Linked DNA regions of Styela clava. The protein of the gene in region 1 purifies or fractionates together with the protein of each later gene. This does not show direct contact. Links are inferred from orthologs where the notes say so. Each region holds a gene or a part of one and is shown on either strand. Other genes may lie near its edges. The genes, in order: cullin-9-like and DNA-(apurinic or apyrimidinic site) endonuclease 2-like.

Evidence for each region.
Region 2: the proteins of cullin-9-like (region 1) and DNA-(apurinic or apyrimidinic site) endonuclease 2-like purify together in Homo sapiens (affinity purification with mass spectrometry; 3 studies listed by BioGRID and IntAct, counting the BioPlex papers as one, with this or other methods). This does not show direct contact. The link is inferred for Styela clava from reciprocal best matches to the Homo sapiens genes CUL9 and APEX2.

Annotation. Positions count from the first base shown.
Region 1 is NC_135253.1:14,293,357-14,305,243, reverse strand, and holds the start of cullin-9-like, read left to right. Parts: upstream 1-7,203; 5' UTR 7,204-7,283; coding exon 7,284-7,382; intron 7,383-8,011; coding exon 8,012-8,125; intron 8,126-8,490; coding exon 8,491-8,650; intron 8,651-9,329; coding exon 9,330-9,424; intron 9,425-9,846; coding exon 9,847-10,000; intron 10,001-10,468; coding exon 10,469-10,641; intron 10,642-10,722; coding exon 10,723-10,843; intron 10,844-11,887. Other genes in the region: myeloid leukemia factor 1-like, read right to left, coding at 60-109; apurinic-apyrimidinic endonuclease-like, read right to left, coding at 512-916; putative endonuclease 4, read right to left, coding at 1,978-2,979. UniProt on the Homo sapiens protein: Core component of a Cul9-RING ubiquitin-protein ligase complex composed of CUL9 and RBX1. The CUL9-RBX1 complex mediates ubiquitination and subsequent degradation of BIRC5 and is required to maintain microtubule dynamics and genome integrity.
Region 2 is NC_135255.1:15,518,262-15,529,705, forward strand, and holds DNA-(apurinic or apyrimidinic site) endonuclease 2-like, read left to right. Parts: upstream 1-5,800; 5' UTR 5,801-6,108; intron 6,109-6,409; 5' UTR 6,410-6,418; coding exon 6,419-8,113; 3' UTR 8,114-8,696; downstream 8,697-11,444. Other genes in the region: uncharacterized protein LOC120330646, read left to right, coding at 8,852-9,100, 9,564-9,680, 11,348-11,444. UniProt on the Homo sapiens protein: Functions as a weak apurinic/apyrimidinic (AP) endodeoxyribonuclease in the DNA base excision repair (BER) pathway of DNA lesions induced by oxidative and alkylating agents.

The DNA.
Region 1 (11,887 bases):
TTCGAATATGTTCAACAATTGAATATTTGTACAAAAATAATTTCTGATTAGTCCTTTACCTGAAAAAAGGATCATCTTCGAATTCTCTCATTAGCGATCTGCCGAACATGTTGATAACTGGGACGTGTTATAGCTCCCGAGGGAACGATATGCTTAGGAAAACCACTAGAAACTAAAGGTTTCTGCAAAAATAATAATAAAAAATTTAGAAATGAATTATGATTGACTGAAAGAAATATAAAGAACTTGAAATTAATAAGCATCAAACAATTTTCAGGTAAAACTAATATTTGACAGCAAAGATTTTGGTCTTCATATTGAAGCTTTTATGGATTTGTATGTCTCATGATTGTGAGTGTATTTTATTCATTTCTAACATAACTGCCAGAGTGAAGTGCAAGAAATTTGTGAATACATGAGCCATGACAATGGCTTTCGATGTGAATTTTCAAATTTTGGAAATTTTCCCCACTATCAATATGACCAACATAATATTTTGAGGGTAACAGGTTCAAAGACTATACAACAGCTCAATTTCCTTTGTATAAATGCTATCATTAAGAAATGGAGTTTCCAAAATCATTGGGATTCCTTCAAAACGTGAATCTCTCATAACTCTTTCAAATCCTTTTAACCCAATTGTTCCCTTTCCAATATTTTCATGCCGATCTTTATGACAACCAGATGGCCCTTTGGAATCATTAAGATGAAAAGCTTTGACATATTGTAAGCCAATTATTGTCTCCAACCCTTCTGTAAAAATATTATAACCCTCGTCTGTAGATAGATCATAACCAGCTGCATGAGCATGGCAAGTGTCGATACAGACTCCCACTCTATCTTTGTTTTCGATCATTTCGATAATATCCCTCAGTTCCTGAAATTTGCCACCCACTGTGTTTCCTTGGCAACTCATATTTTCTAGTAAAGTTATTACAAATTTAGTTAGCTTTGTTGATTGCCTCTGCAATATAAGATAAGCAAGTTTCTACTGAAATTTTTCCAAGGGTTGAGCCGGGATGGAAATTAAAATAAACCAATCCAAGTTCCTCACATCTTTTTAGTTCTTCAACAAGCATTCCCCAGCTTTTTTGCCTCACATCATCTTTGGCAGACCCACAATTCATCAAATATGACCCATGTGGTACAATATGATTAGGAGCATATCCATATTTTTGACAGGTCTCTCGAAAACGCTTTGCATGTGCAGTTACTAACGGCTTCATTTTCCATTGCTGTTGATTGTGTGTGAATAAACCAAAAGCTCTAGCTCCAAATTTTTCTGCCTCTTCTGGTGCTTTCCATAATCCACCTGATATTGATGTATGACAACCAATAATCATGTTGGAACTGTATTTAGATTCTTTGCCTTTGCTTTCTGTTTTGATAGTTTCTTCAGTATCAATTTGATTCGAACTGTTAAAAAATTCAGATTTCTCCTTTTCCGAGACCTTTTTCACAATCTTAGGTTTTGAATACGATTCTTTTTTGATTAATTTTTTCTTTCTGGGTGATGGCCCATTCTTACATGCCTCACCAGCGTCATTGTTTATTTTCTCATTATAACTTGGTTGTTGTTTCTCTGCAAGACGAGAGCTTCTTCTTGACATGGTATATTTCAACACACGAAAGGTAGAGAAATTTAAAATTGAGTGAGATTTTGTGCTAGAAAACAATTGGCTTATATGTGCATACATTAAATCTCGTATGAAAAAAGAGACTGAATTTTTCAATTATTGGTATTGAAAGAGCTTGCCAGTGAATAGAGACAATCCATTTATTTTCTTTGTAACTTTTTCATTTTAAATACAAGTTTAAATATATGATATATTGAGGTTACAGAATTACAGATATATTTTTATTTTTGAGAATTGAAATACAAATTCCATAATGTTAAATAATCTCCTACGATACAGCGATAGAAGAAGTAAACTCGCACAATACGGTATGTTCATAATTAAAGTATGAATTGTCAGATCATATTTTCAATGAATATAAAAGTTTAATTTCTTCGGCATCAGATAAAGTCATTGGTGTTTCTATTATCATAGGAACATTAGCAAATCTGGAATCATTTATTATTCTACGAAAACCATCTAAACCAATTGTGCCCCGACCAATATTCTCATGTCTGTCACTATGACAACCACACAATCCTTTTGAATCATTTAAATGTAAGGCTTTGACATACCTAATTCCTATTATGTTTTCCAAATCATTCATCAAATTATTATAACCTTCTTGTTTTGAAAGATCATAACCAGTGGCATGCGCATGGCATGTATCAATGCAAACACCTATCCTAGATTTGTCATTAACTAATGAGATAATATCACTTAGTTCTTTCAAGTTACCACCAATTGTGTTGCCTTGGCAACACATGTTCTCCAGTAAAATCACAGAATACTTTGTACATTTATGTGCTTTGTTAATAGCATCTGCTATATAAGATATGCAAGTCTGGACAGAAATTTTGCCCAGTGTTGATCCAGGATGAAAATTAAAAAATAGAAGATCCAATTCCTCTGTTCTCTTCAGCTCTTCTACCAACAAATCATGGCTCTTTTGGCGTATTTCGTCACTGGGAGATCCACAATTCATAAGATAAGATCCATGAGGAATGATATGTTCAGGAGAGTAGCCATATTCGATACAAGCTAATTTGAAACGCTCAACTTCATTTGCGTCTAGAGGTTTGATCTTCCACTGACGTTGATTGCGTAAAAATAAAGCAAATGCTTTAGCTCCTATCTGTGAAGCTTCTTTTGCAGCCTTCCAAAGACCACCTGAAATGGATGTTTGAGCACCTATGTATAATGTAGATATACTATTATCGAACAATTTATTTTGTGAAAAATCTCCCGTTATCTTATCATTCAATTTCTGTGATTTGCTTGTTGTTGCCTTAACTGATTTTTGCTTTCTCTTACTTCCAGTCTTTTTTGATATCCTTGCATTCTGTGATCGTAATCGCATCATTATTTTTAAAATATTTTATAATTTTTTTGAAACTGAAGTATAGTAAACTATCATTAAAATTCTTTATAACTAACAATGGCCAGATTTCCAGCAAATTTCAACTAGTTTCAATTCAAGTGTCATAAACTCAACCCTAGAGGCGCAGTTCTTACCACTTCATGGCAGCTCCTGCCACGAACGTACCACGCCGTCTCCTGCCATGGTTTTATGGCGCTATTACCGGTATATTTACAAATTTATGTACCATATTTTAGTTTATCATGCGAAATTATATCTACTTAAACTCTAACCCTAACCCCAAATCCATCCAAACTGTATCCATAACAAAAACATTCCAACTCACCAAATATTTATCACCATCAGCAGATTAGGGGCAGCCCTGCTATTACAGCCGACCTGCCGTGGTTACGGCAGTAAAATTGGTGGTATTCGATTTGCTGCCGTAACCACGGCAGCTCGCTATTGGTTTGTGGCAGCTAAAAAGTCAGTCGCCGTGGGTTTGGTCTTAGTGGCCGTGGTTTGGAAATCCCGCCATGGTTTTGCGGCAGCTGTAGACGCCACAAAATACTTGAAACTGCACTTTCAACCCTACGGCGCTTAGCCGAATTGACAATATTCTTACGAAATGATAATTTTTTAGAAAATGACATTTTTACTGGGTTCCACAACGTCTGTGTTACAGATACGAATATAAACATAAAGCAGCAGAGGTGTACCGTAATATCCAATTATTGTCGGCCATAGGTCATGATAATGTGCCGTTATTGAAATTCCTTAGAATAAAAAATTGTAACATATATTAGATTCAATCAATCAATCAAGATCACTTCATCAGATTATAAGATAAACGTGTTTTTTTAACTCAGATGGTCAATATACACTTTGTCAACTGTATTGCGGTACCAATATGGATTCAATATTTTTGTCCATTGCCTATTTGCCGTTACGAAAGTTACGTATTGGATTCATGTAAAGCGTGTCACGACGATAATGTAGATTGCGTAGAAACAGCACCAGAGTGAGACGGATTTATCGTTTCGTCAACCAAAAAACAAGCATTGCAACAATAAAAAAAAATGTATACGAAATACAAAAGTTATTCGCAGGGACGTTCATTTGAGGGGCTGTAAAATTGGCGTGGTTTTCTGTAATGAATGTACCTGTTGTTAGTGAGTTCGATGCAAAAGAGAATCCGTTCTTAAATGTTTTAATCCAACCAACGGTTATAAATTATGATATATACACCTTTTTTTAGTACAAAATTTTATTTTTTGCCAAATTTAAATCCATTACATGACGCACGCGCACGTATTGGTCGTGAATGCGAATGTACGACTCTTTCGTTGTTTGTTTTCTGAATGTGGTGGTAGTGTATAATGGCTATTGATATACCGGTATATAACTAACTAATGTCCTAACTAAAATGACTATGTCACCACTAAATCACTTATGTCGCTACTAAAATGTCCAAGTACCACTACTGGGCGCCACAGCCTTTTGTTAGTATTGACATAAAATAGCATTAGTGTGCATAATGTGCATTTTAATAGAGAGATGGCCATTTTGGTATGGACGTATTTATTTTATGGAAAACATAATCATTTTAGTAGGAACATAGTCTGATAGTGGCACACCGGTATGTGAAGGCCATGTTATACCGGTAACTACCTGAATGTGTGCTATTAGTGGACGTCACGGCGACAGGTTTTGTGCCGTAGTACAAAATTCTGGTGTCTGGGTGTTGTTGCACATTCAGACATTCGTCTGCAATCATTTACGGTACCGTACCTAATCTCTGAATCTCGCACTCTCAATTAAATTATATTTATAGGCCCAGGAACAGAGGGATGTTAGACCATATACAGATATAAGACTGTAAGATGTTACAGTGTTAAGGTACCGTACCGGTACCGTTATCGATGGTTAGGCACTAATCAAAGGCAGAAGAGAAAAAATTATTTCCACCAACTGACAAACAAGAGTCTTGTTGTCCAGAAGTCAACATTCAGACAATAGTCTATATAGCCTAATATCATAAAACAAACTTTAGATATTAATGAATCTGAAGACAGTAGACTATGGCCAGTCTGGATTTCATGGCCTTTTTGAACGAGAAATCGGGCGTGCAATCAGAAATTCCCGCGTGCAAATAAGAATTCCTGGCCTGCAATTATAGCTCACGACGTGCAAAACAACTGCACTCGCGTGCAACTGACTTTGACATCAGATACCTCTCAATACATCCGCGTAAAATTACCGGTATCGGATAAAAAATACGTTGAATCAGAGAAAAAATGGACGTTTGACCTATGACCCCAAACATTATTTCTACAGTTTGTCGCTAATTTTGAGAGTGTTTGTGCGACTTTGGATACCGGTACTGTTCAGTACATCCGCGTAAAATTATTGGATAAAAAATACGTTGAACCAGAGCAAAATGGACATACTTTGTCATTAATTTTGGTAGTGTTTTTACGTAGAATTAATGGATAAAAAATACGTCAAATTAGAGCAAAATGGACGTTTGACCTTTGACCCCAAACATTATTTTCATACTTTGTCACTAATTTTGGGAGTGTTTGAGCAACTTTAGATACCGGTACTGTTCAGTACATTCGTGTAAAATTATTGTATAAAAAATACGCTGAATCAGAGCCGTACTTGGCCATTGGTGCGGAGGCGGTGTTTTCGTCCATAACTATTCTCACGGGATTCCTATTTCCTATCATTCAACACGATATGGACCTTTCCCCGAGCATCGACTTCCTTGTTTACTTCGTGACATTGGCCAATCAGCAAGATGCAAAAAAGGACGTAACAATGAGAGGAATTTTTCGCGGGTCAAAGGTTGGGGAAAGGTCCATGGTCTTTTTGCTTCGCAATATTTCGATCAGACCAAATCTTGCAAGCTGGTATTTGTCGACAATTGTGGAGTTATAATATTTTGGCATATTTATATTACAGGATTATTGATTTTAAAACCATTTAAACCGATTTACATTGGTGAGCAATTGCAAATTTTCGGCGTGCAAAATTGATTTCGCTTGCGTGCATTTTTGCAGAGCGCTAGCGCCCTCGGGCGTGCACCTGCCATGGAATCCAGTCTGGGACTATGGTACCGTATCGTAGTTGCTTTTAACATCTTTTCAATACTTCATTATGATAACTTAGACTACTTTAAATTTGGAATAACTCCAGAACTACGAAATAAATTGTGATTAGATAATATTGATGAACTATAAAATGAATAAAGTTAGTACCGGTACGATAGATATTCAATGGATGCATTAATGTTTATGTAATGACATATTTGTAAAACTTCTTAACATTTTTGTCGAGTAGTTGAACAAAATCGAGCGAAACCATTGGTTCCTATAAAACTGTGACCCATATGACTGTATGAAATATAACAATCCCAGAAGGGGTCTTACTACTTACTGAATACAGCGCGAAACACCGCAAAGAGCTGAAGAGCGCAAAATAGCGCGAAACAGCGCAAAATAGCGCGAAACAGAAGGAAACCAGCGCAAAACAGAGGGAAACAGCGCAAAACAGGAGACGCAGTCATTACCACCTCCTGCCACGAAAGAACCACGGCACCTCTCGCCATGGTTTTATGGCGCTATTTCCGGTATATTTACAAGGTTATGTACCGGATTATAGGTTATCATGCAAAATTTTATCTACCTTTTTGGTGCTCCAGAAGTATGTGCAGCAATATGTCGCACAATCTTAATCCGCTACACACACACACATACTATTTTCAGGTTGTGCGCCATCTTGGTGCACATACTTCCGGAGGTCCCTTTTTACCTAACTCTAACCCTAAAGCCAACCATATCCATATGGAAAATGTTTTAAATTATGGTACCCAAAATGTGTCACCAGCAGGGGCAGACCTGCCATTACAGCATTACTGGCTACATACGTTGGTTTGTGTTTTTAATTTGCTGCCGTGGTAGTCCAACCCAAAACAAGGTGCCCCGAACTCATCGCAAAATTTTTTTCTGCTTCACACTGTTTCCCTCTGTTTTGCGCTGTTTCCACACTGTTTTGCGCCGTTTCCCTCTGTTTTGCGCTGTTTCGCGCTGTTTTGCGCTCTTTGCGCTGTTTCGCGCTGTATTCAGTAAGTAGTAAGACCATCCCAGAAGTGTATATTGTATAGGAAGTATATATTGTGATTTATTCTGTATGAATTTTTTTTCTGAATCATAAACAAAGTATACTAGTTGAATATATTTCTAATGCATAATGTCTGATGGGCCTGGTGTTCTACATTGATTGATTCTTACAATCCTGCTATCATGAAGGATTCATTACAAGTTGGTAGGAATCAAGTTTTAGAGCCGAAAGAAATATTGAGACAAAGGAATGGCGCATCTCTACAACATGTAGAATACTTGGTTAGTGTATATATGTATTAGATATTTTAAATAATTAAGGTATAAAGAGTTCAGCTATTGTTGAATAATTAATCAGGGACAAAATTTTGAATGTTATTTTTTATTATTTTTTTTAACAAAGTTCAATTTTATGATCATATTCCAGTAGGGCAGAGTTCTTCGATTCCAAGATGTCCCGACAACGAGTTCAATAAAACAAACACTCGATTTGTCTGTAGAACGAGGGCGTCTGGCGGCAGATGCGTTAGATTGCACCATGCTTGTCTCAATAATAATTTGAATGCGTCAGCCGTCACATGACCAAAATTGCGTTTTTTTTTCCTGAAAGCTTTCGAATGCTACGGTAAATTTTTTTTCCTTCGATATATTGGATTACTTTTTTTCAAGGAATCCAATGGTGACATTTTTAAACTGCGCTTTATTTTAGTTTATTGCACAGTGCCGATTTGTACCGATATGGAGGCCCAAACTGTCTCGTAAAGGAAGGGTTTACACACTGTTATAATTGATGTCTTTTAATAATATGGGGGCCATTCTTGGAATCTGGCTTGACAGGGCTATTGATTCTATTGAACTTTTCAACAGTATGAGTAAACTTAATGATTTAATTGATTTAAATCTTTTTATAGGTAAAATGGTGCTTTGTCTCGCAAAATAATAGTTCAGTCAATCATTCTGATGGTTTGTCATCATCTGATGGCAAAAATGACAAGAATATTTTGATATGGATGACACAGGAAGAAGTAGGCTATGGTGTTTTAACATGCAATTTGTAACCTAGAATGTACCAGTAGTTTTTTTAAATGTGCCATTGAATTTAATAACTAGTATGAATATAAGGGTATGATTTTATTTGTGCTTACCTTCGATTATTTAAGTCTTCAAATAAATGTTTGAATTTTCAGTAAATTAGAATTTAAAATAGAATTGGTTGCAGTTTACTCAAAAGTATATAATTTTCTATTTCGCTGCTATTTGTTTATGAATTTTTTTCAAAAATGTTTAAAAGTATTTTTGAATATATTAATAAATATTTGGTTGATAATACTTCTATTTAATTCACCTTTATGGGATTAAAAATGATGAATTATAATTTTTACTAATCCAGGTTGAGGTATGCTGTAGTAAACTGCTTGGTTCAGGATTCACTGGTTTGAGTAATTTAACAAACAAGACATCTTCATCTGATGTTGGTACTGAAGATCAAACTGATGATAAAGTTACAGCTACTGATACTGATTCAGAAGATTTTGAAGATATGCGTGATGGTAGGGTCTTATTGAAAATTTTTGTCTCTGATTTTTTAATTAACTTTAACAGTTGAGGTTTGAGTAATAAGCCAAAATATTTGGAATCAAAATTTGCAATCGCAAAGTAGTATTGTACCCTGATTACAATAGATGTGGACGTTTTTTAATCAGTACTTCAGTTTACTATATTGCAGAAAATGAATTTAAATAATTTGTGTTGATTTCTTTATTGTACATGACCCAAATCAGAATATATGAGATATTCCATGTTCAAAAAATTGTTTTATTTTATAGTGTATTTGGAATAGTTGTTTGGTTTATGCCATTCTTGGGTATAGATTATGTTATTGATTAGAAAAATAGTAATTTTATTTCACTATATATACACTACACTTATTAACATTTATAAGGAACTATTATGTATTAATCATTTATTTCCTTCTACCTTTGCTTATTGAATTGTGAATTTGACACAATGAAGTTGTTTATTACGCTTCTCACAAACTGGAAATTACTCATAAGTTGCCCAGTAACCCACTAATAGTTGAATATGAATGTTTGCACTGATTGAAGTGCTTTTGTAGGTGTATCCTTGTTATTGATGAGTTTTAATAATATTGTGAACAATGACTCAATCAAAACCATAGACTTTGTTGTGAGTATACAAATAAATAATCAGCACTCTTATTCAATTCAGATGTTCAAAAACTTGTTATCAGAGCCAGAAGACAAATGAAAAAATCTGAAAATGAGGAACATAAACCCATTAAAAATATTTCTTATACTCTCAAGGTATTACTTTTTAATTTGCTGTTATTAGATTCTGCTTCTTTTTTGGCTTTTTATTTTTTACGATATTATGTCTTTATGTTATACTTGCTTTTTGGTGAATTTCGAATATTCACGTTTATGTTTATTATTAAGTGCTTCACTTCTGAGCTTCTAAAAAGCTCTATGAATATTTACACGACAGACATGAGAAAGCGTATCGTTTTTTACAAATACATTGATTACATGTTTCCCAACAAAATAAATAAATTTTGAACTAGCAACGGACATTGAAATGTAAATTTAGTATTTGATAGGAATATTTGATAAAGATCTTCTGATCAGCATTTGATGAAAAGTCTGAACACTCTGAAGCATGCTAAACTTTTATGACGAAGTCTTATCTATGCACGTTGCAGTTTTTTTACTGATATTTTTAATTCAAGGTGTTGAGTACATATGCCAGTCTTGGATCTTTAGCTAGCGTCTTCAGACAGACCGGTGCTCTGGACTTGATATTGGAATTATTGTGGTCTAAAGAAGTTGAAACAAAGAGACATGCTGGGAAAATGCTTCGTGCATTGGCTTCACATGATGGAGGTAGGATAATTTGGGAAACCCAAACTTTTCTGAGTTAGGGTTCGGCCATGTGGCGCATTGTGTTGAGCGTTAGTAATACGCTTGTTTTTTCCCTGCCTGGGTTCGTGGGATCGTCGCCATAGGGTGGTTCACGTAAGCTCTGGTCAGTTCCTCCACCATCAAGTCCATGCATGTGAAACAGGTAAGTATCTAACTAATACCACACCCGACATGAACTGGTAACCGCCATATGATCAAGCTGTTTTGTCTGCTTTGCTCTCCTCCTGAATAAATATGCAAGTCCTATCCTAATCATCTGAGAATTGCTGAAACAAAAACAGTTACCGGTAGTTATATAGTTCATTCAGGTCATCTCAACAAGTCAATTTTTTGATTGCTAACCGCACGCTGATATTATAAATCACTGGATTATCTGGAGTGGTATATTACATTTTTGATAACCATTTCTGACAATTTTTTTTTCTATAGGTAGTAGAGCGTATGTGCTACTTTCATTGATTCAAGATAGACATGGACAGATGTCAAGCAGCGATGATGATGCTGATTTTGAAAATCGGAATACAGTAATGGAAATGTTTGCTGAAACATCATCAGGTGAAGAAGCTCATGCTGTAGCTCTCGACTTCATGCAACTTCCTCAGGTTTGTTTGGCCTTCGTTAAATTATTTATTCAAATTTACATTCTTTCGACGTCCATAGTCAAAATTTGGTTTTATTTGTAGGTACCTGGGAAATCATTATTCAAACTGATGAAGTGTTATTTGAAAGTAACATCGTTGTTAGATATGGATTCCCAATTCATGCAGCTGATGACTGGTTCAGAAGAGAAAAGTTTCACAAAAGGTAATTGTAGAAATTTAAAATTTTGTAACTGATCTATTGCTTTGTATCACAATATATGTAGGGCTGGGCATTTTTGAATACCTATCGATATCAGGATCGAATCGAATATTTTTTCGAATTGAATCGAATCTCGATTACTTGGATTATATTCAATTTTATATGCTTTTTATTGTATTGGGCCCTCCAGGCACATAAAATACTGAAAATTCATAAATAAATTCATCACTCAGACAGTTTGCTGAGCGTTCACACACAATAAGAAATATGTTTCATCAATAACTCACTAGAAAAAAAAGAGTTATATGTCAGAATTGTATCATGAAATTGAAAATATGCCTTCTTTATAAAAATGAGGGATGGCATGGCAGTTTGAAATTTTTGTCTTAACCTATTCGAAATGCCCAGCGCTGAGTGTATGCATGCATGCGGTCCAGGTTCCCTGGTTTATTTATATTAGCAAGAAGTGATTGGTAATAATATACCACGTCAATGTTTGGGAAGTTCCCTTTATATCAGTTATGAGGAAGTTGCATTGTTGTGTAACTGGGGATTTTTGTTTTAAAAAACTCTGTTAGAAATTGCTGATTTAGATTGTGTTGACTTGAAACAGTACTGATTAATGTAATCACAGTTAGATATTTCAGTACATTATAGGAGTCTCAACTTTAACTCTATTGCTATTTCTATATATTATATAGAAGTTGATTTACAGTGTTTTCATATCCAAGTCCGAACAAATCACTGATTTCATGTGGTTTTTACCTTCGCTGATTTCCTTGATTTTTTTCAGTTACACACAAAACACAGAATCCTTCAGTTGGCATTTTTGCTTCATTTTTGAGTTGTGTTATAACAAGGAAAAAACAAATATAACTTATAACTAAATTAGTTGTTACTTCAAGAGGCCTGTTTCTTCTAATGTACTAACTCTCATTGCAACCCACATATGGAAATTTAGAAAATATATTATGTGTCCAATTTATTATATCTGCATGTGATTGAAAACGAAGCTAAAAAATTTAATTACCGTAGATAATTTAATAT
Region 2 (11,444 bases), on another chromosome or scaffold:
TGCTATGATCTTTGCCATCAAATTATGCTCGGGTCTTGCGCGAACTTCATAACGTGAAAAGATACGTCCAGCTGTGAAAATTGTTTATAACTACTTTGAACCTATTTAGAGTTTTTAGCGATAATAATTAATTGCTGTAATGAAATACAGTTTGTTTGCCACTTTCATTTCTATCGCAACTGCCGACAGTAACACTATTGAATGATTTTGGCAATGGGAAAAACATATTGAATTGTAACAAAAATGACTTAGGTTGTGAAAAAGTAAGAATACATGCGATAATAATGAGTGCGTAACGTGGAACGGGGAAGGGCGAGCAAAACCGAAGCACGTGATCAGCGGTTACTTTGAAGACCACGTATTATTCGTGCGGCCGCGCAACTTTTACAATAATGTGAGGTGTTCCGAAGACCTCTCGTTTACAATGTAAGAAAACTGTTCTAATATCGTTAACTATTAACCATTTGTTCGCGTTCGACTATCGCATTCTTTATGGGTGGAAAATGTTCCTTTTTGTGATGAATGTGCCGCGAATACTTAAATAGCTAAATAGTGTACCGCTATATTAAATAAAGGTTGGGGTTTAAAAACTGGTCCCGAAATCCCAACCCTACGTGGAACGTCATATGATTAAGCCGTCTTATCGACTTTCCTGTCTACGGGATAAATACGTAAATCCTATCTTACAAAGCATGTGCTCACTCAATAATAAGGGGGAGATTTGTAAACCTGTATCGGTTCATAATCCAAATGATTCGCCAAGATGTTCAACATATTTTTAAAGAACTGTTATAATAATGGTGTTCCATTTTTGTTCTCCAGATCAACGGTTATTTAGCAGAATTATCTTCTTTGTCAATATTTTGTATGTTTTTCATTTCAACAAGGCAGTGAGTCGAAATAAAAACGTGGCAATTTGAAATACCGGTACGTATGCAATTAAATAATGCATTTTTCATTTCTTTCCATTGCCTTGATAAAAAGTTGAAAGGAAAACAGAATTTGAGATCTCTGGAAATATATTCTAAAATTAGTTAAGGTGGTAGAGTATCGACAAAGAATTCATCCACGTCACCACGTGCCTCTTGCAGATAGCTCATTTTAGTCTCGTCTATTGCAGCTTATTCGGGACTAATTTTTGATAATTGCAACTAATGATAATTTAAGTATTTGATGTACGACTAATTTTTTGAAACACAATTGAAAACTGACAAATTGCACACAAAATCGCGAACACGGGTCGATTGTTTGCAACCATGTTTATTTGGATATCTGTCTTAGTGAAAGAGGTGACTGAGCGACTGCGTCAATTTCCGTTGTTGCGTCATCGTAGACTAGGGTTGCCATACGCCATATTTTTCCTTGACATGTCCGGGATTTTAGTGGTCAAACTTGCGTAAGGGAGCAATTTCAAAAAATTCTTAAGTGTCAAGGGGTTTACAGTGAATCCCTGCTACAAATCCTCAAATTTTCAGATATTTCGTCGCATTCAGATAATTGTAATAATGTCACATATAACCTGAATTTCCATCTGTAATCGGTATTTTGGTTGAACCATTTTATAGCCTTTTTGCTGATTATGGAGTCGAAATAAACTTATTTATTTTATTTATTTATAACTACCTTCACCTGTAGGCCTACTTTATTCCATGCTAGGGTTTAGTTTTAGTCACTAGTGGATAGGATAGGATAGGATTTACATATTTATCCCGGGGGAGAGGAAAGCCGATGAGACGGCTTATCCATATGGCGAACCACGGCCTCTCGTCCGGTTATCATTCCAAGTCGGGTATGGGATTAGTTTTACTGTATTGTTTGTTTTCGGAAGCATGGACTTGGTGGTGGAGGAAGCCGTAACCGACCAGCGGTTACGTGAACCACCCAACGACGGCGAGGAGTCCAGCAATCCTCTCGCACATAACCGTCCCTGCATGGGATTCGAACCTGCGAACCCACGCAGAGTAATTAGAGGTGCGGTGGCGAGCGTATTCCTAACGCTTAGCCCGTTGAGCCACACCGCTAAAAATAGCAACAATTATGATCCTTTCGTTTTGTTCCGTATTTATTCTATTCTCACGAGAAAGCGGAGACAGCTTGTGCCTTTGGATACATCGTGAATTTATACCATAATATAAGTGTTTTGGTTGCAAAATCGGTCAATGTGGCTCATTAATATTTTGTCAGGGATTTTGTCTTTTCAGATATGGTAACCCTATCGTAGACTTATTGCTGATTGGACATTTTTGCAGGGACGGACTAAAAGTAGGCACTTGCAAATTAGACACTTTTTTAGGCACTTATTTAGGCACTTTGGAAAAAAAGTAAAAAGGGCGTAATACCTTTTAAAAACATAATTAATTAGTTAAAAATGGTCAAATTAAATGTTGAAAACGCAAATTGCAACGGGCAAACTCAATAACAATATTTAAAACGTAGTATTAAAGGCAGTCGCACGCGCTTGGTCACCACATAAGCTAGGCACATATTTAGGCACTTCGAAAAATAAAGAAAATGGCAGTTATCACTAATAAAAGACAGAGACATAAACATATTACCCACACTGATTAGCCTGGGTAAATATCCAATAGATGCACTTGAGTCTAGTACTGGAATTTAGAAATAATAAATTGTTACCGTTAGGCACTTATTTAGGCACTCGGAAAAAAGGTGAAATGGACGTAGTAACTCCTAAAAAGGTAATGAATTAGTTCAAAATATTTAAATTAAATGTTGAACGCGAAAATTGCAACAGTTAAATCCAATAACGATTTTAAAAACGTAGTATTAAAGGGAGACGCACGCGCTCTGTCACCACGTATGCTAGGCACATATTTGGGCACTTCGAAAAAAGAAGAAAATGGCAATTATCACTAATAAAAGACAGAGAAATGGAAATATTACCCACACTGATTAGCCTGGGTAAATATCCAATAGATGCACTTGAGTCTAGTACTGGAATTTAGAAATAATAAATTGTTACCGGTAGGCACTTATTTAGGCACATCGAAAAAAAGGTGAAATGGGCGTAATAACTTTTAAAATGATAATGAATTAGTTGAAAATTGTCAAATTAAATATTGAACACGCAAATTGCAATATGTGAACCGAATAACAATATTTAAAACGTAGTTTTAAAAGGAGTCACACGCGCTCGGTCACCACATATGCTAGGCACATATTTAGGCAATTCGAAAAAAGAAGAAAATCGGAATTATCACCAATAGAAGACAGAGAAATAAAAATATTACCCACACTGATTAGCCTGGACAAATATCCAATAGATGCACTTGAGTCTCGTACTGGAATTTAGGAATAATAAATTGTTACCGGTGGGCACTTCGAAAAAAGGGTGAAATGGACGTAGTAACTCCTAGAATGATAATGAATTAGTTCAAAATATTTAAATTAAATGTTGAACGCAAAAATTGCAACAGTTAAACCCAATAATGATTTTTAAAACTTAGTACTAAAGGGAGACGCACGCGCTCTGTCACCACATATGCTAGGCACATATTTAGGCACATCGAAAAAAAAAATGGGAATAATCACCAATAAAAAAAAGAAAATAAAAATATTAGTCAAAATGATTAGCCTGGGACTGGGTGAATATCCAATAGATGCACTTGAGTCTAGTAGTGGTATTTGAGAATAATAAATTGTTACCGGTAGACACCTTTTACCGTGTTTCCGCGAAATTAAGACAGTGTCCTATTTCAAATTTCTTCCTAAAATTACCACTAGGGCTTTTTTTCGGGGGATGTCTTATATTTTAATTTATCAAAAACAAAATTACAAAGTAAAGAATTACGATATTTTCAAATATGCAAAATATAAAAACCGATATCATTGGGTTTACTTGTTGCAATTTGCATATTAATTTTTTAATTTAAATATTTTAAACCAATTCATTATCTATTTAAAAGTTATTACGCCCATTTTACGCATTTTTAGAAGTGTCTAAATAAGTGACTAAAAAGTGCCTACCGGTAACAATTTATTATTCTCAAATATCACTACTAGACTCAAGTGCATTCATCGGATATTCAAATAGGCTAATTATTTTGACTAATATTTTCATTTTCTGTATTTTTATTCATGATAATTACCATTTTCTTTATATATCGAAGTGTCTAAATATGTGCCTAGCATGTGTGGTGACAGAGCGCGTGCGTCTCCCTTCAATACTACGTTTTAAAAATCGTTATTGGGTTTAACTGTTGCAATTTTCGCGTTCAACATTTAATTTAAATATTTTGAACTAATTCATTATCTTTCTAGGAGTTACTACGTCCATTTCACCTTTTTTTTTCGGAGTGCCTAAATAAGTGCCTACCGGTATCAATTTATTATTTCTAAATTCCAGTACTAGACTCAAGTGCATCTATTGGATATTTACCCAGGCTAATCAGTGTGGGTAATATTTTTATTTCCCTGTCTTTTATTAGTGATAATTGCCATTTTCTTTATTTTTCGAAGTGCCTAAATATGTGCCTAGCATATGTGGTGACAGAGCGCGTGCGTCTCCCTTTAGTACTACGTTTTAAAATCATTACAGTATTGGGATTTAACTGTTGCAATTTTTGCGTTCAACATTTAATTTAAATATTTTGAACTAATTCATTATCTTTCTAGGAGTTACTACGTCCATTTCACCTTTTTTTTCGGAGTGCCTAAATAAGTGCCTACCGGTATCAATTTATTATTTCTAAATTCCAGTACTAGACTCAAGTGCATCTCTTAGATATTTACTCAGGCTAATCAGTGTGGTTAATATGTTTATTTCTCCGTCTTTTATTAGTGAATATGCCATTTTATTTATTTTTCGAAGTGCCTGAATATGTGCCTAGCATATGTGGTGACCAAGCGCGTGCGACTGCCTTTAATACTGCGTTTTAAATATTGCTATTGAGTTTGCCCGTTGCAATTTGCGTTTTCAACATTTAATTTGACCATTTTTAACTAATTAATTATGTTTTTAAAAGGTATTAAGGCCTACTACTAAGGCCATAAAGGCCTACTTTTAGTCCGTCCCATTTTTGCAGAAATAAACGGGGAAATTGATGTTGCGGCAAACATTTTCGAGGCCTTTGAGAAAATTGAGGCCTTCTTCTGCCTGATGTAATTTAGTAGTTTGTGGACGCGTAGGACTTCTTAACTTGCGCCTAACATTGTCAGAATGCCGGATCACATTCGCATGGTGCTAGCTCACAGCATCACACTCGTGTGACGCCACACTCGCCATCCAAGTGATCCAACACTGTTTTTGTTAGGCCATCGATAGTTGTTAGGCCATATTGAGGTGACTGAGCTTGCTGTTGCATTTGCGTGGGATTATCAGCTATTAGGGTATATATATTATCAGAGCAACCAAGTATTTTTATGGAATAACGTTTATGAAGTGAATATAATAGTTGGTTCACCGCAGCTTGAGTGCGGGCTTGCTGGCTTGGGTAACTCATTTAAAATCGATATTATTTTACGTTTCGCTTGTTGTAGGAGTTGATGTGGCACATTCAGTAGAGACATTCCTGTCGAAATTTTGGAATAATTTATTAGAATATTGTGCGTGCTTCTTACTCTTTATATTTGCGCCGATTTGTTTGTTTAATTCTTGTGTGTAATGCTGCAATCGGTGAAAGGTAAAATTAGGTACGGTAAATTATACTTATACTTATAAAATTACCAGATTCTGAGATTACTGAATTGTTTATATGGTGTACCGGTACCGGTACTCTAATCCATCAATTTTATTTTAGTAGACTACCGGTACTGCTGTACTAAATTGCATTTCTACGGAAACAAGGTTCTTGAAAAGCAGCCATCGATGTATGTCAGTATGTAGAGACTAACGTCTGAACGTATGTTTTACTAGGACTGAATATTTTTTATTGTCATAACACAGACACTGATTGCATTCAGGTGAAAGACCTGAAGATGGAGTTTGAAACTCCGCCAAACCTTTTACTGTTTTAGTTTAACTACTACAGTACTAGGCTATTATATTAGTGTGCAGAGAAAAGAAGAAAAATATTGGATTTGTATCAACTCCTAGCATACGGCTTGCGGTTATGTAAAACTGCATATGCAGTGTCCGATGTCACACATAGGGTGAGAATATATGGCAGACATTACGATATTTCACTCTTCAGCTATTTGTTCTAATTTAAGCCAGTACTGCATTAATAACCTTGAAACTAATTGTTCTATTTTCGTGACTATTCATTGTCTAATTAACTGTTACTCAACTATTTGGTTCCAAGGTAAATTGAAATTTATAGGTAAAATACTGAAAATGTGAAATTAACATAGTGCAGTAGTGTTTCTGTGATTGATGAACTTCATCGAACAAGTATAGACTGACAGATAATATCTTCTCCTGCCATTACATTTGTAAATGTTATTTTTTTAGTTTTAAAATATGAAGCTTGTAACTTGGAATATTAATGGCCTCAGATCAATGAAAGGACCAATTAAACCATTTCTTGATGGGCTTGACGCTGACATTATATGCTTTCAAGAAACTAAAATAACAAAAGATCAAATTGAGAGCGATTTAGCATTAGTTGATGGATATTCTTCATACTTCAGCTTTTCACAAACACGCCAAGGTTATTCTGGCGTGGCCACATATTGTAAAGCAAATACTACACCATTTCTAGCACAAGAAGGATTATTTGATTTTGCAGAAAAGTCTGCAGGAAATGGAGCCATTATGCATTATGGGGATTTAAGTTCAAAATTCTCGCAGGAGAGATTGTATGAAGTTGATAAGGAAGGGAGAACAATAATTACTCAGCATGAATTTTATGATTCAGCGAAGAAAAGAAATGAAAAGTTAACTGTTATAAATGTCTATTGTCCGAGGGCAGATCCAGAAAAACCAGAGCGACAAATTTTCAAAATGGATTTTTACAAAATGTTAGAAACTCGAGCAAACGCAATATTGAATTCGGGAAATCATGTTATTATTTGTGGGGATATCAATACATCACATAGAAGGATTGATCATTGTGATCCTAATGATCCAGAATTGTTTTACGATAATCCATGCCGAGAATGGATGGATGGGATACTATATAACAAAGGTGACTACTCTGCTCTAATACATTTAAATTCAAACTCTATCCAGACAGAATTCTGCGAAGGATTTGAAAATATAAAAAATGTTTCATGCGAAAAAGATTCTAGTACTGATGGAACTGAATCAAATACGGAGGAATCTACACAACAAAATTTAAAACAGGATTCGGAAAATATAGATATTTGTAACAACAATAGAGCAAAATTCATCGATACCTTCAGATACTTTTTCCCACATCGAAAAAATGCATTCACTTGTTGGAACACAATGAAATCTTGTCGAGAAACGAACTACGGCACGAGAATTGATTATATTTTAGCGAATTCTGAGTTTCATATAAATTATGTTAAAAATTGTGAGATTTTACCGGAGATTCATGGATCTGATCATTGTCCAGTCAAAGCAGATATCAATGTAACTATGATACCTGCATCCAAATGTCCGCCATGTTGTACTAAATATATGACAGAATTTGGAGGCCGACAGCAGACTTTGTCATCCTTTTTTTCTCAAAAAGCAAAATCAAAATATGATGATGAGCAGCTTTGTCAAAGCCCTGTAAAGACAGTAGTATCTTCTTCACTAAAGACCTCTACGCAGAAACTTTCTAAATCATCTGTTTCAAATTCCAAAAAGCGGAAACATGAAAACAGCAGTAATACTGTAAGCAAACAGACGAAACTACATTTTTTTACCAAAAATAAATCTTCAAAACCTAAAGTAAATATGGAAATAAACACTAAAAAATCAGCGAATACTTTGTCTCTTTCTCAAGAAAAACTCGAATTCATGCCAAAAATTGATAAATCTTTCACGACAAAAAGCTCAAGTGAAGTTTCAAACTTTTGGAAATCAGTACTGAAAGGCCCTGAACCTCCTCCATTATGTAAAGGTCACAACGAACCTTGTTTTCTTAGAACAGTTAAAAAAGAAGGTCCAAACTTAGGAAAGCAATTTTATTGTTGTCGACGTCCTGATGGACATAAAACTAATCCTGAAGCAAGATGTTCATTCTTTCAATGGAAGACCTGACTGAAACTTTTCATTGATTATCTTGTACCAACCTTGATAAATGTTCATTTTTCGGACATATCCATTTTCAAGTTGAATATTTCTTATTAAGGAATAAACTTTTTTAAGCCTTTTTAGATATCAGTATTCTTTACTGAGAGAAAGAATAAATTTTAAATGCAAACTTGATTTATGGTAGTTATTGAGTAGGCTATTTAACCGCTGCTGCCCTCACAGTATTGGTTTCAAAGTCATGTTTATACCCAAATTTTTCAGCTCACAATAAATTTGATATTTCAAATTTCGATGGAATCACACTAACTACTTAAATTTTATGCAAATCTTATCATGTTAACATCTTTTTCGGTATAATAGTTGTTTTTAAACAGCGCAATGACGTATTCTTGTAATAAACTATGCCATTCCTCCTTTAATAATAGTTGTGTTTAGCTGGTCATGATTATGGAAAATTTTCATTTTACTAGGCCTACTAAATTGCTGATTTATGCTTATGGATATAATTTGATGCAATTTAAAAGTAGTTCAGCTCTCGTATTTCTATTTCAGCCAATTTAATAATATATTTTCATACTTCAATTTGCAGTGGTTACTATATCCATAATCAATTTGTTGTATTGATTTTTGGACTAACGGACGGACTATCATTATAAACTTTGAATGTGTTTGCTAAGGATGCTTTAAAACAAATCTATAAAACACTGGATAATATTGCAAGCGTATTAATATAAATATAGCAATATGATGCCGATGGGGTGGAACCAAATACGACAAGCAAAAGTTGCTGATGTCCAAGGGCAAATGAGGCACAATCATATGGGTCAGAATCAGCAGCAACAGTATAGTCACCACCAACAAATGAATCCCCATACAATGATGATGCACAATCAACAAGCTCCATCCTTTGATTGGAATCAACAGCATATGATGCATCAACAACAAATGTATTCTCATCCTATGATGGGACATTTTGGAATGCAAAACCCACAAGTGAGTTGCTTATGGTAGATGTTTCAAAGATTTGATTCGAATAAAAACAAAACTAATGATATTATAAATATTCTGTTTTTGTGCTAAATTTGTCTGTATTGTAGAGAGGGAGGTTCTTTATGTCAAAATTGCAATGTGAATTTTGACATACCCGTATAGAGAAATTTTGATGCTCTGCTGATCAATTTATCGTCATGTTTTTGCATTTCTTGTTAATAAAAAGCTTGACCGTATTGGCAGCTCATCTCACCACTCATGGAAAATTCATTGTATACTTAAATCAGTGCCATTTTATGTATATTTTGTGCTTAACTATGTTTTTGTTTCACATTTTGAGAGAATTACCAGCTGTATTTTTTTTCTGTATTTTTGTATTCCATTGGCATACAAGTATTAATTAATACAATATGCCATTGTAATGACTAGTAATTAATCTAATTACCTAATCAACTTGTATTTTTAGATGATGATGGGAATTGCAGACAAACCACCAGAGCCATCAGAACCTCCTCCTCCATCACCACCTGCTCCATTACCCAATGACGAACCCCCTCCAGCTCCCCCTGCTGCTGAGCAGAAGGTAAGGCTTTCTTTATATCACCTAGAATAGTTTTAGTAATTTGGGAATTTAGTCACTCACTCACTGCTAGTTGAATTACTAGTTAACTAGAAAATGGCCCATTCAAACACATTATGCTTTTTTCTTTGCAATATTTGCCTAATATATTGCTGGACAGGCAACGAGTTTAGACTAGAATTATGAACACAGAGAGAGTTATAGAGAAGAATTTTGAAACAAATAGGATAATTCGGGTTCTTCGACAATGTATAAAAAACTAACACATTGGATGAAAATTCAGGAAAGTTGCCATAACAATCAAGTTCAAAACATGGGATGTAAAAGTACTCCATGGTCAATCTTACTGACATACAGAAGTATTGTGCAACTTGCGTCCCACGGGCCAAGTGCGTCCCACAGAGGAAAATTATGTGGCTAACGAAACAAGTTTTCAATTTAGTTTAATTTGGTATGTGCAAGTAGTTCCATGCCTATGAGGCTATACCGTTCAATTTTTTTTATTCGTGCCTATTATAATGCCCTTACAGCTAGCTTGAGCGAAGCGAACAGCGCATATCAAGCAATAACCAAAATTTTTGTACCTGCAAGCTGCAACTACTAGAGAACCTATGTTAAATAAAAATGCGGCTCGTGGTTTTACCCAGATATTTTTATCTGGCCCTTCTGTATTATAGTTTGCACACCACTGACATGAAGTCTATGAAAAAGACAAGATGCTTAGACCTTAGAGCAGTGGTTCTTAAACTTTTTCGAGCGCGACCCAAATCTGAGTTTTATGAATACTCGCGACCCAATCCTAAAAAACGCAAAATGTGTTTTTAATGTTAGTACAGTTTGACTCAAATACAGACAACTATTTATTAGAAACAGTCCATTGACTCAGTGAGATTGATGAAACTGAAATTTCCTTTTTCATTATATCTTCAATACACAGCTCTATTTTACTTAACGCAATACGTAAGTTGTCACGGGTATCGAAGCGATTGCGAGCTTAGTTTTGATAACCGTCAGTGCCAAATATCCTCGCTCGCACAAGTTCCTTGTCGCTAATTGTAGCAGAAAAGGCGTCCGCTGTCCGTCGCAAACACGACATCCTAGCTGGCCTTCCGTATCTCTCGCAATATACAACTTTTTACTCGTCACATGTGCACGCACTGCTTCGTTCGCGGTAAATGGTGCCTCGAGATGAAGTCACATTTTCTCTAGATATTGAATAATCTAATGTCGAGAAGCGAGCTTTTTCATTGCGTCGTCTATTACAATTTTCATTACCAAAAAGACACCCATTTTTGTTTATTTTAATCCACTAAGACGACATTCCATGCGGTCAACACATCGACAAGCGACGTGCATGGTTACCGATACCATAAAAATAATACACGTGACTGGCATATCAGAATTGTGATGTAACAATGAGCTCAAGACTGTTCTTACCGTGAATAAAATTTTTTATTTCATTATTTTTAAATACCAGAGTTTAGAAGCTAAATTGAAACATTGGGAAAGCTGAAAATTCGTCCTTCTCCTCTCAGATTGCCCTTGCATTGACGACCTTGTCGCGACCCATTTTTAAACCTTCCGCGACCCATGTTTGGGTCGCGACCCATACTTTAAGAACCACTGCCTTAGAGGATATTATTATAACAGTTTGATGATTTTAATTTCAGTGGTGGGAATCTGAAATGCGGAATTTGCAAAATATGCATCATAGAAATGAATTGGAACGATTATCTGGTGAAAAATGGTTTCAAAGTATGAATACAA